Linked DNA regions of Struthio camelus. The protein of the gene in region 2 purifies or fractionates together with the protein of the main gene of each other region. This does not show direct contact. Links are inferred from orthologs where the notes say so. Each region holds a gene or a part of one and is shown on either strand. Other genes may lie near its edges.

Evidence for each region.
Region 1: the proteins of CEP43 (region 2) and centrosomal protein of 78 kDa purify together in Homo sapiens (affinity purification with mass spectrometry; 3 studies listed by BioGRID and IntAct, with this or other methods). This does not show direct contact. The link is inferred for Struthio camelus from reciprocal best matches to the Homo sapiens genes CEP43 and CEP78.

What each region holds. Positions count from the first base shown.
Region 1 is NC_090982.1:29,120,924-29,129,995, reverse strand, and holds the start of centrosomal protein of 78 kDa, read right to left. Parts: upstream 4,120-9,072; 5' UTR 3,949-4,119; intron 3,543-3,948; exon of another isoform or gene 3,342-3,542; intron 2,441-3,341; 5' UTR 2,417-2,440; coding exon 2,164-2,416; intron 1,949-2,163; coding exon 1,773-1,948; intron 1,145-1,772; coding exon 1,072-1,144; intron 467-1,071; coding exon 363-466; intron 1-362. UniProt on the Homo sapiens protein: Centriole wall protein that localizes to mature centrioles and regulates centriole and cilia biogenesis. Involved in centrosome duplication: required for efficient PLK4 centrosomal localization and PLK4-induced overduplication of centrioles.
Region 2 is NC_090944.1:88,809,745-88,818,792, forward strand, and holds the start of CEP43 (centrosomal protein 43), read left to right. Parts: upstream 1-5,212; 5' UTR 5,213-5,867; coding exon 5,868-5,957; intron 5,958-9,048. UniProt on the Homo sapiens protein: Required for anchoring microtubules to the centrosomes. Required for ciliation.

The DNA.
Region 1 (9,072 bases), on a different chromosome or scaffold from region 2:
ATATAGTCTTAATAGTCTTAACTGAATGTTCACTTTGAGCCTTATGAAAAATATTATATTAAAATCAGCTCAGCATTTAACATTCATGTTAAAGAGGATTCTCACAATGAAAATATAATTTTCTGGAATCCAGGAACATTGAGGCATTTCAGAAATTCAGGGGAAGCGGAGAAGCGGCAAGGAGACGGTTACTGTAGCTATGTCAGAGCCTGTCCTTTCCCTTAAGAGATGTCACATCAAAAACAGTATAGGGTAAAGTATTGCTTTTGTTATTACAGAAAAGCTGTATTTGTTTACAAGCCAAACCTAGCAATCATGTTTTTAGTTATTTAACTTCTTGTTAACATTTCTGGTTAAATTACCTTTAAAACATTTGCCATATGTTCTGCCCCTCGCCAGGTAAGGCTACATCCTGTGAAATTTATGCATCTGATACTAGCAGAATTCTTCACACTCTGACAGATTACTAAAGACAACAAAAGTATTTGTTATGTACAGGCACAAAACAGCCAGACCATCAGAACAAACACATTTTCTCACCGCTGCATTAAGAAGCTGAGTTAGCTTTAATAGGTAAACCCTTTGACACAGAACTAGTGTTGAAAAACAAAATAAACTTATACATTTAAAATAAACTTAATACATTTAACCTCTGTAATTTCAAAAGATTAAATATTTCTGGAGTAAGTATTTAGCAAAGACTGTTTGAACAAGGTAGAACATGTTTTGTTTTATTTTACTTGTGTAAACATGAGCAAATCAAGAAAAAACTCATTTCAAACTTAAAAAGATTACTTTGTTTTAAATAAAAGTCTAATCAACGTTAACTAGTAAGTCTGTTTTCTAGCATCAGGTAAACATTCAAGTTTTTAAATACTGTAAAGCCATGTAAAATAAAATAAAGATGGTTATTTTTAATCAGCGTGAATAAATTTAAAACGAGAATGTAAATACTGAAAAGCTTAGTTTTACCTATTGAAAGCTTTAAAAAGGAGGGCAGAAGTATGTTTATGCCTTTACCAGTCACCTCACAAGACCAGTTATTTTTCTTTTATTTTGAAACTAACTTACTTTCTAACCCTCCATCTCCAATTGGACAGTGGGCTAGGGAGACGCTCTCCAGAGATGAAGTTTTGGCCAACCCCTGTAAAATAATAAAAAATATATATATATTTATGTTTTTAAAATGGCTTGAAAAGCAACAACAACGTACAAATAGAGAAAAGATCAAGACATCCAAATTGCTCAGCACAAACACTTAATGCTCCTGGACAGATGCAGAAGGGCCTAAAGCTGTGAGGAAGCTGCTTTGTTTAGCACAGGAGGGGCCTGAGCCTGCAAGAAACAAGCAGCCACCTCGCTTCCTAGAAGCCACTAATGAGCACACTGCAGTAGCTCCAACGGAAGCAGCTCTCCAAAGCACGCTGTCTTACTGGAGCTCGGCAGCTTTTCTTCTGTCATGACCGTGCACAGCAGGGTCAGTCACAGGCATAAGTTCTACACCTCAGACATGCAGTAGGGATGCTGAAAGAACCCTCCCATAAGGGTTCTGCTCCTTGACAAATTAGGGCAAGAGAAAGTTACATGATTTTGGTTAAACACTAGGTTATACCAAGTGTCTCAGCAGAATGGTTCTCACACAGAAGAACACAAAGATGTATTTCAAAACAGGCACATCCCCAGCTGTGACAACTACACATAAAATGATTTCCTACTTCCCTAGGTTCTAATCCTAGGTTTCGTTTAATAATTGTATACCAGCGCATTCTCACCTTTGTTAAAAGTATTAGATCTCTCTCTCTCAGAAGCAACCCCTGCAGTTCCAAGTTTTTTAGTACATCTGATATACTCAGACAGCCTTTGACAGCTTTGCATAGTTGACCAGTCAAGTCTTTTGATCGAATTGCAGGAATTCTCCTTCTGAAGTAAGTTCTATACCTTTCAACACCTAGTAAACAACAGAAATGAAGAGCAGTAACATCCAGTCCATATTGACTTGACAGCTATCAAAAACATACCTCTTTTTTGCCGCTGTTCTTAAACAGAAAGAATTCCTTAGCTATTACAACTCTCCCCCTTCATGCATTCAATCACTCACAAGATTTATACAAAGAGCTTTAACGTACATCAACATAATTATCATCTAGAGCCATCAATACAAACCTGATTCTCCGAGACCCTGCTGATGAAAACTTCTTACTGCAATAGAAGTCAGCGTCTTATTATGCCTGACAGCATTTAGAAGCGGTGCCCAGTCAGCAGCTTTGATGCGATCTACAGTTAGATCGAGAGCACCCTGGTTCAGATTGGCTTTCACAGCTTTCAGTGGGACAGAGCCTTGAACAGCACACAGATGCTCATAATGAGAGTAGAAATCCAGCAGGCACTGTCTTCTTACTTTGACCGAGTCAATCATTTCTCACAGGTGATAAAAGCCTCTCTAAAATGAGGGAGGAAAAAATATATCAAATTTTTCCCATATGCAACTGATTTAGTGACATAATCTCAATTCAACACGCATACTCAAAACATGAGAATGCACGAGTATAGCCGTGCAACTCAGTGTCTCCAACACGGCAAGTAATGCTGAGGTTGAACGTGGAAGTACAGCTGAATGGGTAAGAAAAAGAAACGCTACATTTTTGTTCTCCTCAACAAAAGTACACCTCCAAGAGTATGGGGGAACATGTCCAATGTTCCAGGACTAACTAGTGTAAAGACTTTCCTCTTAAAATTTAATTTTTTAACGTATAGTGTCTGCAGGCTACTTAAAAGCCCACTCCCTGACCCAGCACCAAGGAATATTAAGGTCTCTTCGAAACACCATTTACATCTTCAGAACTACTTGTCAGCTTTTCCACTGCTGCAATCAAAAGTCTGAATTCTCGTAATATAAAATAAAACAAGTGTTTCCCTTATTGCTTTTGCATACTTTATGCCTGGCCCTAGCATTCAAGTTTAGCACACTTGAGGGTAGAAAAGAAGAGGGGACAAACTCAGAGACACATAATAACTTCCATCTCAGAAATAACTACATAAATTAAGGCTCTTCAGCATGGAAGTTAGTGGGAATGACAAAATCGTACAAAATCGCGACTGGCTTAGAGAACATTCAGGGAAGAACTTTATCTGCTATCTCTTTCAATACAGAGGCAAAGGAGCATCAGATGAAACTAGCAGGTAGCAGACTGAGGAGAAACAGAGCACATGGCAAAACTGGGAAACTCAACTGCATGCTAGTTTTCAGAAAGCTAGGAGTTCATAGGGATTCCCCCTCCCCTCCCCCCAAAAAAACAGGTAGGCAATAGGTTAGGAAAAAAAATCCATACAAGACTACTGACCACAGAGACAACGACTCTACCCTAAAGCCTGAGCTGCAAGACAGGGACATATTCCGTGAAGCACTATTACACGTTTCCCCTCTGCTTACACACTTCCTCAAACACCTCCTGACCTGCAGGGGTGAAACATACTTTTTATTTGACCTGTACAAGCACTACATACAAGCATAAGCAGTATCCACTAAACACATGCAAATAAACAACTCTCTTTATACTTGGAAAAATATAGTATTTTATATCGCCGCACCCACTCAGAGCCAACCCAGCCAACTACTTCAGTGCTCTGCTTCCCTAACAAAGCACACTATCAAACCAGCATGCGCTGGGGACCGCGTTGCTCGCTGCCAAGCACGGAGCTGCAAGAGAAGAGACGGGGTGGGGGGGGAGATTGTCCCTTCCCCTCCTCCCCAGTACACCCCCTGCGCGCGCTCCCGCCTCGCCGGGCCGCCAGCCCCCCATCGCGGCCGCGTCCAGCACAGCCCCGATCGCTCAGGAGTCACCCTTCTCCCTGGCTCCTCCGCTGGCCACCGCGCCCCAACCGCAGCCCGCCAGCCCCTGAAGCGCGCCTCCGCCCGAGCCCGCCGGCGAGCCTCGAGGGAGCCTCCACCACCACCACCACCTTCTCCTCCTCCGCCGCCGGGCGCTGAAGCGCTGCTCCGCGTGAGGCGGTTTCCCTGGGATCCCAACCGTCGCCGCCCACGTGGCGCTGGGGGCTGGCGCTGCTATTGGCTGCCACCCCAGAGCAAGCGGGCCATCTCCCCCGGCCAGCCGCCCGCCTTCGTACGTTCAAAATGGCCGCGCCCAACGGCCGCCTCGCCCCGCCCCGCCGAAGCGCTTCCCTCCCCCCTGCGCTGCAACCGTTACGGCGCGCGGGGGCGCGGCCTCCCCTGCGCCCGGCCCGGCCCGCTCCCTTAGCTGCGGGGGTGGAGGCGGGTCGGCGGGCTGCTGCCGCCTCGCCTCGCCTCGCCTCGGGGCCGCTGCCGCGGCTCTCCTGGCCTGCTCCGCTTCAGCCACAGCGACGAGCTGGCCCCCCCGGGACCGGCTCGTCCCCAGGCCTTGCAGCCCCCAGCCCTTGGGGTGGCCTTCTGCCTTGCACCCCGGGCACGCTGGCACCTGACGAGCGTACAGGACAGGTTTAGCTCTTTTAGTCATATTTCTTTCCTCCCCTCTCCGCGTGGACATAACGTGTTTTTAGACCACCGCAGGAAGCTGGACAAGGGGCATCTGGCAGAGGTTTTAGAGAGAAATTTCGCAGCCAAACAGAAACTACTGTTTCTCTTTCCTAAAGAGGCTTATTGCAGGGCAATGAGAAAGCACATTTACATAATGCTGTCTTTTAATACATCTTTAAGCGCGCTGTGCATCACTTCAGCATCTAAAGACCACGCTGCACAGATGACTAGCTCCGTAAGTGCTGCCGCACTTTGATTCACAGCAGTAGCTGCAGTCAGCTGGTCCCAGCTGGCTGAGAGCACACAGATTCCTCCTCCTCCTCCTCCTCTTCCTCCTCCTCCTCCTCCTCCTCCTCCTCCGCAGCTTACCTTCCTCATTCGTTTGCTAGCTCAGATAGATCTGACTTCAGGTTTCAGGGTTCTCATTAACATTCAGCGGTGTGTTATCAGGTGCGCCCTTTAAGGCAAAGTGACGCAGACATAGCCTGTGCATTGATCCTAGAGTTTGCAATTCATTCATGCATAGGAATGCCAACTACTCATGAAAATGATTACTATAAATTGATGAGTAAGAGCAATTGGCTTATTTAACAAGTTATGCTTTTAGTCTGCTTATAAACAGGAGAGTTAAACTCTAAAGCTGAGTACACAGTAATTAAACAGGTTAAGGACCCTCGAACTTGGGTAGAATACTGTATGTTCACTGTGTGTCAAATAATCTTCATATTAACATAGCTTAATAACAGCAGAATCACACATGCTTCATAATCTTCGACTGCCACCAGAAGTAACTGAAGCAGCCTAAGTGCTATGATCAGGTGTGCCAGAACAAGAATTATTTCAGTAGGTCTGAGGCCACCAGCTATACAGCAAATTGTTTCACTGTGACGTTTTGCAAACCAAACAGAAAAGATACACAATGCACAGGGCAATAATCAACCAAGTGTCAACAGCAGTTGTTGATTTCTTGACTAGAGACTGTGTGACAAAAGTATCTCCACTGCATGTCATACCACTGGATGCCATGGGCTAAATTCAAGCAAAATCAAACGTAAATCCTCTCAAGCAACTTTACTTACTTACAAGATTTGATGTTTGCACTATTCAGTTAAATCACTTTTTAACAAGCAGAGCTGTGATACATCTTCACTGCTAGTCCACATAGCATTTTAATTTTTCTCTTTGATTAATATGCCCTTAATCACTTTTGTATTTCTTTAAATTCCTTCATTCATCTCGTTTCTCTTGACAGTCTTTTCACTTAGTCAGAATTTTGCGCTTGTATAGGGTGGCAGTTAAATTCTTACATCTACAAATCAAAGGTGTGAACTGATAGCCACATCTTTTAAAATCACTTATGAGTGAAATTTTTAGGCATTTCCCCATTATATTCGGGAAATTAAATACTTGCTCTGATATTTCAGAAATAATAACTCAGAATTCTATGCATTTTAAGCTGTTAAAAATAGAAAGCATCTCTGAAGATTCCTAGAGAGACAGACATTATATTCTGGAGACTCTCCAGCCATGCGTTTTGTTGTCAATTTCCTGTCAACTGTAAAGACTAGCATTTCAAGATGAATTTTGAATCACAGCCACACTACCATTGCCATGTAAATGGAGCAAAAAGAGCTCCTTTCTGTATGCTATTGATTAGTCATGTGTTGTGCACCAAGAAAAAGCCTGAAATGAAAGCAAGCTCAAGAATGATTAGACTGTTAATATAGCTCTTCTTATTTTGCAGCATGTCAAAATTATTCTCCGCGTTCTTCATTGGATGTAGCCTTAGAACAATCACACTAGATCTCTAAAACTGCAGGCTGCATATATCATTGTAAAGCTATAACCAAAAGGGGATTCATCTTGTCAGTAAATAGAGACATCTGCAAGCTAAAATTCATAATATTGCAAAGAACCTGTTCCAAGTTTCTCCCTACCAAACTCTTTTTCTTTCAAATTAGTGCTGAGTGAAAGTTACTTTTTTCTCAGCATTTGATTCATTCATTTTTGCTTTGCATTCTACTTGTGCATCTAAATTTTAAGTTTTTTTACATCTTTTTTGAAAATTCCATTTTTGGTACACATGGCACAGATCTGCCAGAAGGGCTGGAGGCTGAAAAATTATCAAAAGTACTCCTGTGTATGTGAATCTAATGTGAATTCTAAATGCAGGTTTTAACCACTAGACAGTAGCAATGTGTGTAATGATGAATCTACAGCTGACGTCTCATTCTGGATCCCAATCTTTCATCTATGGGTTTTTCACAGCCTTACAAGCTGAAGTAATCTTATGGCCTACTGTATGCTCTGGGAAGAGCATAATGGCTTGGGCCGCTGATAATTTAGTAAAATATTTAATAAAAATATTGTCATTCAAGAACACTTCTAGATGCCCAGAAAAAGAAGTCCTGGGCAAGCCTTGACCACTTCAATCTGAACCACAGTAATATGTGGGCTGGGTGTTCTGCAATATCTCTCGGCTTGCAAACAATAAAACTAACCATATTATCTTCCTGTCATTCAAAAATATTCCAGAGTCTTTTGCGATCAGAGAGTTCTGCATAGTTATGCTTATCTCATGCAGTAAATGTAGAAAGAACAAATAGAAGAGAGAAAGTAAACAAATGTATTAGAGCATTAAAGTTTGCCACATTTGAGCCTGAAAAATGCTGATTCAAGATACTAGATGAATTTTTGCATACTCTGTCTGTGATTGACAAGAAACTGATGGTTTTCATTTACTGTCCAGAAGTAATAGTAATCTCTAATACAATGGATTTTTTAAAAGTTTTCCTGTATTTCTTGCATCTCCTTGTTTGGGTATGTAGGAGCCCAATTCACCGAGCCATAAGGACTCTTTTTTTTTATTCTTATAACTATTCATACGGTTAAGTAATATTTAAACATTTTAAAGCCTGTAATATAGGCTTGTAAAAACATGTATTTTAGGGTAATTAGTGCATGGATTAGGCCATTTTGCTGTATTTCCTTTATTCGTGCTCTGTAATTGCCAGCGTAGCACTTCCGACAACATTCTGACCTCGTTGCGAAAGCTATTTAGTTAATTTTGTTTCATTAGAGCATTAAGGCTTGGAATTTTTACTGCAGTGCTTTGCATTTTCTCTTTGGCTAGATTTCTTATTTCTGTGTAAGATGTCCTATATTTTATAATTGTGATTATCACCATTACTTGCTTTTCCAGTTAGATACAGTTCCCACTGATGTTCTTTTTTTTTTTTTTTTGTCTTCAAAAATAAGAAATGATTCGGTGAGCTACCAGATGTCTCTGCTCTAAGAAAACAGTTCCCAAAGAGACCTAATTCTCTCTGTCACTTTGGCAAATGATGGCTTCTTCACCAGTCATCCACTTGCTGAATTTGTTGAACTAATTCTTGCTCTCTCTGTTGCTTTCCAATATCTTTCTAGGCCACATGCTCAAACGTTTCTTTAAAAAAATGTATACTAATTCCAATTTTTTTATTTGATTTAACCCTACAGGCATTTGTCAGTCTCACACCATATCCAGCATTAGCTTTTTTAGAGACAGCATGGAGAAAAAAAAATGGGTCTCTGCATTTTACTTTGTCCATGGGTGGGCAGCAACTCTTTTCTCTTGGCTTCATGAGGACAATATCTCTGGAAGGTATCCTACTTGGCTGATGTTCTTCAGCATTATCCCTCACTGCATACTATGCCTTGAAGGAACAATTTGGCAGTTTGCCTTTTTTTTTTTTTTAAACTTCTGTATTTTGCCTTTTTAAGTCTGCTTCCAAAACTAAATAGTTAGCAGTTTTTCCCCTGTTCTGCAGAAAGCCAGCTGGCATTGAATGCTAAGTGGCGAAAGGACAAAAACAAAATTTCCAAAATTATTTGAAAATGATCTAAGAGCTGCTGCTAGGGCAGTTCTTTATAGATTTTATCCAGAAGCCTGAGAAGATACTTTGTTGCTAGGTGGCAATGTTTCTGAAGCAAAGATGCAGCGGTACAGCCAGCAAACCTTTGCTTAAAGCAAGGAGGAAATAATTATTTCATTGTGTCATCATTAGATGGTTTTATCATGTTTTTCTTGGAAGTTGCACAGGTGCACAGTATTATTTCTTATTTCCATTATACCATAACAGGATGTGGCACTTTAACACACACAGAACAGGTAAAACACACTGCAAAATCTCAGTGTCTAACACAGGGCAGTCCAAAGGCAAATTAAGTTTAAAAATGAGTCATGGTTTGTAAATTTTCACAGTAGGGTACACTGCAAGATCCAAAGAGATAAGAAAGTTGGTATAAATTAAAAAGTGGTTCTGATAATAGCTAATTGCACAAAAAAACTCTTGAAATACGAAATTGGAGCTGGAAATGGAAACAGGGGTAATGAGATATGCTTTGGATGACTTGGAGGAAAACGAAAAGAGAAAGCTGGCCAAGATGGAAGTGTAACATACTTAGGAACTAGGGAGAAAAAATATATGCTGAGAGCCTAAGGGTGAATATTCTTTGGTTTAGAAGTTTTGAGATGGATATAGGCCAAATAAATGCAGTTCTTTTTCCTCTGCTATAGC
Region 2 (9,048 bases):
CACACTAACAAGCTTAGAATATCTTCAACTGCTCTTCTGAATTGGGATAAAATTAAGAAGTAGCGAAGTGCTCTCCTGAACTAGAGCCTTAATCACCAACTGATTTAAACTGCATTTTTAGTACTCTATATAATATTCCTAAGAACAAGTTGGACTCCAAAATTTGAGAATCATTGTAATGAAAAATAACTGACCTCATTTGGGTAATTTCTCATTGTAAATAGCATGGTCTGTTATGTCTGTATTGACTTTTCTCTCCTGTTCACTGTTTATTAACACTCATGATGACATGATTATATTTGGTGGAAAATTGAGGGAGAGAATGCCAAAACAGTGGAAAAGTTTCATTTCCATTTTTCCTGAAAATATCATTTTCCTCAAAAATTTCTGAACAAACGTAACTGTATCTGAGATTTTAAAACTCTGTTTATCTGCTGAAATGTGTTGCCTGAAGAAAATAAAACAAAAATGAAGTTGGCATGGTTCAATTTCTTTAAGGATTTTATTATCAAGCACTTCAATCTGAGATTTTAAAACTCTGTTTTTCTAGAAACCAGCAGTGTACATTTAGATTAGGATTTAAGAGTCCAGAATCTTTCTTATTTTGTTCCCCTAACACAATGATTTTTGTTTTGATTATTCCCATTGCACAAATAGAACTCACAAATCTAGCTAGATTTTATTCAGTTTTTGTGTGTTAATGACAATCATCTGCAAAACTCTGATCAGATTCTAGGATGTACATATATTACTGTGTCCTAACTTTCAGTCAATAGAATTGGTCAATGCATGTTTTTTGAAGGCCTGGATTGGATTTATATTGTGTAAAGAGCTTGTAGCAACGCTGCCATTGCATTTTTTTTTGAATGATGCAGTGTCAATTTTATAGCATCTTTGCAAAGCTATATTGGTTTTCCCATGAAAAATACATCTTCTTCTTACTCTGGTAGAATGTTCTTCACATTTACAGTTCTGCAGAAACAATAAAAATAATGTTGGTCTGTCTCTTGTGATGCAGTTAGATGATGTCAGTAAAGGTAGACTTGGGAATTAGATATATTTTAAATGATAACGTTTTCTTTAGAATGGGACACGAGGCAGTTTGAGACTGTTCATTGTCGGCTGGGTAGGAAATTGGACTATTAGCATGCTTCGCTGCCCTCTAGGTGATGAATATTTAGCTAAATAATTTTCTGGTATTTGGCAGTGCTCAAAAGGGGTATATGGAGATTGGATTTGAAATAGTCTAGATACACTGGAGAGCAGGAAGCCAGTGTTATTGCAATGAATTTTACAAACCACAATTCTTTTCGCTGATGAATCATCTTCTAAGTCTACTGAATCTGTCTTTTTGCTTTGCAATCCCTATCAAATATTTTGTCAAGTGGATTTTGTAAGGACAGTCAAACATAATGTCAATACCTATGTCATATTCATATTCTGAAAGCTGGTGTTTTCTGAAACATTTACTTGGAGAGAAAGATTTATATCTGACAAACGTATAGTACACAGCATAGACCTGAAGCCAGATTCCACACTACGGTTTGCCAGCTTAAACAAACAGTTTCTTGTAATTTGGGACAAGGTATATTTGTGGAAATAATTTGCCATAAAATATAAAAGTCTAAATTTAAAGTATTGTTTTTGAAATTGATAATCTAGAATAGTAATCACTATTAATCACTATCAATAGTAATCACTAACAGTGATTTGCCTATAAACCTCCATTTTTTGACATACTATCTAGCAATGTTCATTACTAAATAAATCGTATAATTGCATTTAATTGGAAAATAGCTCTTTATTTCTGCATCTGTGTGATAATAATATGTCTTCCTTTATTTTGCTATACGAGTTACTGGGACAAGCCCTTTATGGAAAACACCAATGAGCAATTATACCTGTGAAACACACATTTTCTCTTTACATATAATATATTGGGGCAATACAAGTACTTTAGTTCCATGACATTTGTTGGGCATGCAGTATCTATATGTGATGGTATCACAAGTGATTTCCAATAACATTTACACCATAAATGCTGCCGTTTTATGTATGTTCCTCACATCTCACAAAAACTATTTAATGAGTATTAGAAGAATGTTGTAAACCTTTATTTAATCTTATAATTTATGACCCTGCCTTTAAATACATGTCATTAAATTATTATAAGTCCCAGTGTGTGTTTCTAAGAGGAAAGTATACAAATCTGTAAAGAGGATTCTGGATAAAATTGGAGCTGGAAATCCAGAGAACAGTTGTAAATGGTATGCTCAGTGAACTAAAGAATGAAGGGAAAAAGGGGATAAGGTAGCAGTTGAAGGTATGAACGCATCTTTTTGAGATAGGAAAGACAGTCAGTTTTGGTTCTAAGGCAAAGAGGAGGAGACAATTAGAGTTTAAGAGGAAACAAGAAAACCTGAGAGCACATGAGGGAAATCAGAAGAGGAAGAATCATTGGGGCAAACAGAATAGGAGGAGACAGGGAAAGAAATGTCTCCATTTCCACTGAAGAGAAAAGGCTGAAGAAGAAAAAAGGAAGGTAAAACCTAGGAAAAAATATTTGATTTATTAAAAAGTGTTTTTAAAAGGAAAAAAGGAAGGGAAAGTCGGGGACTGTAAGCAAGCCTTCTTCCCTGCTCTTCAGCTTTCCCCTGTGAGTTTGAGGGCAGGGAAGGGGAAGAATTTTCATCAAGAAATTGCCAAATCAGTGGTGGAGGAAAAGGCAGTGGATGGTCTGAGTGACTGAGTCTGAAGAAATTGGGGAGTGTTGGAGATGTGATACGAAACACTACCCTCACACATCCATTCCTACCTGGCAGGGAAGATAGCCCTCCAGAGCATCAGGTTTTACTTTTGACTTGCTGGAACTGAAACAGGTGCTGTTGTGGCCCCATCTCCAGAAGCATGGTGGTACCAAAGGAGTCCCCACTCATACCACCCTCGCTGTGGTAACATGAGAGTGGATTCGGTTAAGGTACAGCAGAGTGATTTTGCTAGCTAGATATCAGAAATAAAGGCCAAGCAGTGAGACGTGTGGGGAAGCAGATTGATGTGCGATATGGAGAAAGCCCAAATGCTTGTATCAGAAAAAAGGGGTCAGTAAAGAAACATTGGAGACAGTATTTGTTGCTGAAGAACAAATTGAGAAAACATTCCTTTTGTGCCTGATCTAAACCACAGTTGATAAAACGAATAAATACTATCAGATAAACATATAGCTAAAAAGCTGGCTTGTCATCAAAGTAGCTGTAGTTCAAAGCTTTAGAGTTTTAAAAGATTAGGAGTACATTGTTCTTTAAGTTGATGAGAGTATATGTTTAATTTCATTTTACCCCACAGAAATCCCCAGTGCATATAGATGCATAGCTGTGTATACATGGTTAGCATTGCTAACATGGTTAGGATTGCTAACCATGTTATCCAGCCAAGTAAGTATTTTGCTAATTTTGATACCAACAACATAGTTACAATGTAGTTATACACTTTCCTATTGGTTCCTGTCCTTCCCTACTATTCACAGTTTCATATACCTTTAAACCGTTATCCTCATAATCATTTAGACCCGGACTGTCGCTCACACAAGCTGCAGAGCGGTAGGGTTTGGAGTGAAACCATGACACAGTAGTGTGGGAGGGAGAATAATCTCTGTGGGGTTCTAGTAACAACTTTCCAAAACTGCTGGAGGCATGCAAGTAAATTAACAGACCTTTGGGCCCAGTCCCTGCTGTGCCTGTCAGCTTGGAAGGGAAAGTAGTGTCTATCAACTGTAGAACCGGCACAGAATACATTCCCTCTGGATCACTGACAAAAATAGACCATTTGTGATTACTACAACAGGACCCCAATCTACTCCTATAGAGGTGCTTTTATAAGCTGGTCCATTTCAAAGCTTTTATGGCTGGTAGAAGAACATCACCCTTATTTTGCTGGTTATTTTCCAATCCCTATTCTTCCCTTCCCCTCCCTAGCCTAAAACTCATTTACCAGCTTAGACACTTAATTGTAGTGCCGATCCCTTCAATTGCTTAATATTCCCTCTATCAAGCTAGGCGTCAAGTTTCGGTGAACCAAAACCACCGTCATCATGTCTTTTGGCAGACATACGAGTAAAGCCTTATACCCTGAGACAGCGTGGCTCTTTTGATCATAGTAACATTATAGGGCTTATATGATTATTGGAAATAACAGTTTAACTTTTAACCTATAAGCCTTGTTTTAATTGAACTTGATCACGAAAACTGAAACCTAGTTATTTACCATCTTGTTTCAAGCTTAACATTGAAGTTTATAGTCTATTTTGACTCCTAAATCAATAATGATATATTCTTACTGGTGAGTTAGATATTTCTCAAACCATACAAAGAGAGTGAAAGGTTGCCAATGTTTCCAAGATTGGGAATTTTAAAATGTAATGCTATATTCTTTGTGCAGCAACAGAAATGGGCTCAAACATCCAGCATGCCTCTAGAGGATGTAATAAAAACGGGACAGTACCAGTGACACCTGACTTACCAGGCTTGACTCATATTTAAGACCTCACCGATGAATTAGTGCCACCTACTGCATGCTTTTGAAAGTAGCATCAACCGCCAACAATACCCTTACTATATTCCTCTACGAGGAACGCTTGCATGCTTTGAATATTGCAGAACCACAGAATGGCCAAGGTTGGAAGGGACCTCTGGAGATCATCTAGTCCAACCCCCCCCTGCTCAAGCAGGGTCCTCTAGAGCACGTTGCACAGGATCGCGTCCAGGTGCGTTTTGAATATCTCCAGGGAAGGAGACGCCACAATATTCATGAATTACGAATTTTCTCGCTATATAATTGAATGCTCTTCAAGAAAAATCGTAGAAAGTTCAGAAGATAAGGTTCAGTATGAAAAAAAAAAAAAGCAAAAGATTTTCCCGGGGGCAACGTACAGTGCTGCAAATTAAGCACTGCATCCTAGAAAGCGTTGTATCATTTTTAAGAAATGATAGCGTTGGAGCCTCTTGTTCCTAAGACGCTGCCTGGCGCTTTTAACATAACATAGAGGTTATAAAATAAACACTGTTGACATATTTTAAATACTTTTCGGTCTCTGCTTTGCTTGTGCTGAATGGAGGGGATACGTCTACTTTCCGAGATCTCTCTCAGCCCAGAGAAAATTGCTCCTTCCCCCACCCCTCCCAGAGGACGGGAACAGCGTTTTCCTCTCTGCTGAAACACCTGAGAAGGGGCAGGAGAGGGGTTCTTCGCTCCTTAAAGCGGTTTCAGGTTCTTCGTCGTCGTCCCCCAACCCCTTTCTTTCGGCGCTGGAAAGAGCCGAGTGCGAGAGAAGACCGGCCCTAGGTGACCTCGCTTCCCCACACCCCCTCCCCGCGGCCGTTACAGCCCGCGCGGCCGTTGGGCGCGAGCGCGGCCCGGCGCGAGTCCCGCGCACGCTGCCAAGGTCTGCCCGGCCAGGGGAAAGCACCAAGCTGGAAAGGGGCCCAGGGAATGGTTACAGGGACCCAGCAAGTAGCGCGGCCACCAGCTCTGCCGCCGCGGTGACGTTGAAGACGAACAAAGGCGTAGCTCGGCCGTTAGCGCCCATCACCCGCTTTAAACCTCCCGCCCGCCAATCGCGGCGCCGGCAGTCGCGCTGCTGATTCGCCGCTACACTTTCCAGGCGCCGCGGTTTGGGGGGGGGGAGGGGGTGTTGGGTGGTCGCGGCCTCGTTGTGTCCCCTTTCGGGCCGCTACTGAGGACGGCCACCGGCCGGCTGCGCCCCGTTTCCTCGGGTCCGCTGCTGGGTTAGTGCCTCCCTCGGCCGCGGAGGCGAATCTGCCGGGCTCGTCCTACCGCTAGCGCAGTTTGGGCGGTTGTCAGGGAGAAACAAGATGGCGGCCGCAGCGGCGGAGGAGGACACAGAGCTGCGGGACCTGCTGGTGCAGACGCTGGAGAGCAGCGGGGTGCTCAATAAAATTAAGGTGGGGGAAGGAGAGCCTCGCGTTGGCGCGCGCACCTCGCGAAGCGCAGAGCGGGGAAGAGCCCTGGCTGGCGCCAGCGGCAGTTAACGACCGCGCACGGGGGGAGGGGCCGGGCCGGGGCTCCGTCCCCTCTCCCTGGCGCGTCTTAGCCGGTGTTCCCGGCCGGGCCCTGTGCCGGCGCCGTGGCCTGGCGGGGGCGTCTGCCGCTCCCCGGCTGCTCTGCCTAGGGCTCGGCGAGGAGCCGGGTCCAGCGCCTGTCTTGCGAAGTGGAGCTGGTACGTGCTCGCCGCGGGCCCGGGCGGGAGGCCTGACCGCGGCTTGACGTCTGCCTGGCGGCCGCAGCGTTAACGAAAGCGCCGAGGTGGGGAGAGGGAGGGCAGCCCGCGGCCGCCGCAGGGATCCCGGCGTCTTGAGTGGGCGCTTTCGGGCCCGCAGACACGCTGTGGTCGCAAGAGCTCTATTGTTGCTTCTCTCCTGCTGCTGCTAAAGCCGCTGCAAACGTTCAGCGGCCGGGTCGTGTTGGATGGTGTGGACAAGGTTTCTCTCTGATTCGACCGAAAAATCGCCATTGAAAATTTAAAGCAGGAATCGTTGAGGGTTGCTGCTTATACACGGCATCTTTTGAGTTCGGGTGAGCTTAAGCTGCGTCTTGAAGGCCTAATAAACAAGGGAAGTGCCGAGGGATGCTGCTAGCTGCACGGCACAAATACTGCTATGTTAAGAAGTTATGCGGAGGACAGTGTTTAGTGGGGTGTAAGGTTTTCTCCATTGTAATTGCTTCCATGTCTGTAATGTAGCCTGGGCTGACATCCTGTCAGCAAGGATATGAAAACTGGTTCTAAGGGTTCTTCTTCAAGTTAGAAGCTTCCAGCAATAACTATTGTGCATAGCAAAGAGCCATACAGTTATCACAGCATATGAGCTGTTGGACCATCTTCTAAGCCAGGAGAGAAATGAAGTTTGAGTTTCAAATCACAGATGGTGATATTTTTTCCCTGCAAAGTACTACAAGTATTTCCAGAGGTAGATGATCACTGACACTTCAGGATCAGTTTAATGACTGAAACAATTGATGGAATTAAGAGTATCTGTGTGTGTATACAAAGAAAATAAAAAGTCACTTCCTTTAAAGTCCATTGGATATTTGGCTTCCAATGGATTCCATAGTGTTCAATAACACGGTGTTACTGAAATTGTTGCTCCTGCAGTTTTGGAAGAGTAGTCCTTATTTAAATTTCATAAGTAGATGAAGATCCCAGTTCATGTAACTATGTTTTGAGTAGGGAAAGCTTTTTCTAGATAAGTATCAAATAGGCCTTTTGGACCACCCATTAACCTCTTGTGTCATATTAACTAAAAAAAATAGTGAAAATAATAGCAACAATTAAAAAAAACCACAAGTCCGTTAGGTCGTTTGGAGTATATAAACTGTAGTTTCTTAATTCCAGTCTTTGTGTAGTATACAAGTTATTGTACTGCACTTGCCAGTTTGCTGAGTTTCATGTAAATATGTTTATTGTAATCTTCGCTATGCTATAATGCTAAAGTTGTAGTATCCAGTATGGCTCAATTTATCCTTAACGCAAAATAGCAAACAACTTAGAAAAATGCAGACTGCATCCTATTTACCAGTATATTGCTCTTCTTAATACTGGGAGTTATTGCCTTGTAAGTGGTATGCTTATGGCTAAGGCCATGCATTCTGCAAATTAATAGGATTTCTTCTTAGTTGTAAATCTTAACTGCCACACTAGTTTGGCTATCTGTTGATTGTTAGTATGAGTAACTCATGGAATTTGTTTTGTTTGGCACTTGAAAATAGTCCTTTGTCTTCCAGAAGAGTCCAGAGTAAACTGGTCTCCTTAAAAGGTTGGCTTCTAATTTAAATTAGATTATACCATGCATAAAAAATGGACATCGTGCTTTCATTAAATTAAACATATTTGTGCTCAGTACTGTTTCCTTAACTATTGCAAATGTGTCAGTATATTTTATTATGTGGGAGAACTGTGAGAAAATGAACAATTGCTTTGCTACTATGTAAATTGTATACACCAAAATGAGCACTGCTCATCTTCCAAGATGGGTGAGGCTAGAAAGTAAATTATAGCGATGTGTCTGAGACTTGTTAGAATAGACACATTAGAAAACAAATTATATTGCTGAAAGTATGGCTTCATTGGTGTGAAGAAAACTCTGGTAAAACAAGTAAAGAAAGCTCTGGAAGGATTAGAATTAGAATGTACAAGGCTGTCAAAATTTACATATGGGAACATATAACAATTACTTTATCAGTCATTATAAAAGAAGAGAACTTTGGTGACACCTTTGTCCTTCAGTATACAACATGATTGTACAATGGGTTACAGTTTTAGGTTTTTTTTTTTGAGGTTAATTTCTTGGGCATATTGGTTTTGATGTAAATTGTTTAGCTGGAAAATAGTAATAATAAAAAATCTTAGTTACCTTGTAGACAAGTCCCAAACAGATTTTTAAACTGTCATACTTACCTTGGGCTTTGAGCACAGGAGAGTTTAATAAAGTAATACATTTACACAACTTCCAGTTTTCACAATGTTTGCCGCGTCTAGTTGAAACATTTCCTATTTTTAGAGTGCAGATCAGACTGCTTCCTTTTGAATATCATAAGAATGCTCATCTAAAATATAATTCTATATATTTGTACTTCATTGAAAACTTTTACTGATACTGCACGTGTGATGCATTCCGTACAATTACAGAAGACGTTCTCTCTTGAAGAGCATGTGAGCCTTCTCTGGCCTAGGGAAGCTGTCATCATCTGAACAAGAAGAGTGATTCTTCTTATTGTCTTCCTTTGTCGTCTTATTTTGTGTTTTGCTTTGTATCTTTTAATCTCTTTTCTCCTGGAAAAATAAGTTTATGCTACCTTAGTTTTATGGCATCGCTGGAACTTGCTGTTACTACAAATACGGGGGAAATCAAACATTACAAAAATTGTATGACTGATAATGCTTCTGGCCAGATGATACTGTTCTTGCTAATTTGATTCAAAATCTAAAAAGTTGAGGTACTTGCAAAAAACGTGTTGAGGGTAAGAGACAAGAGTTAA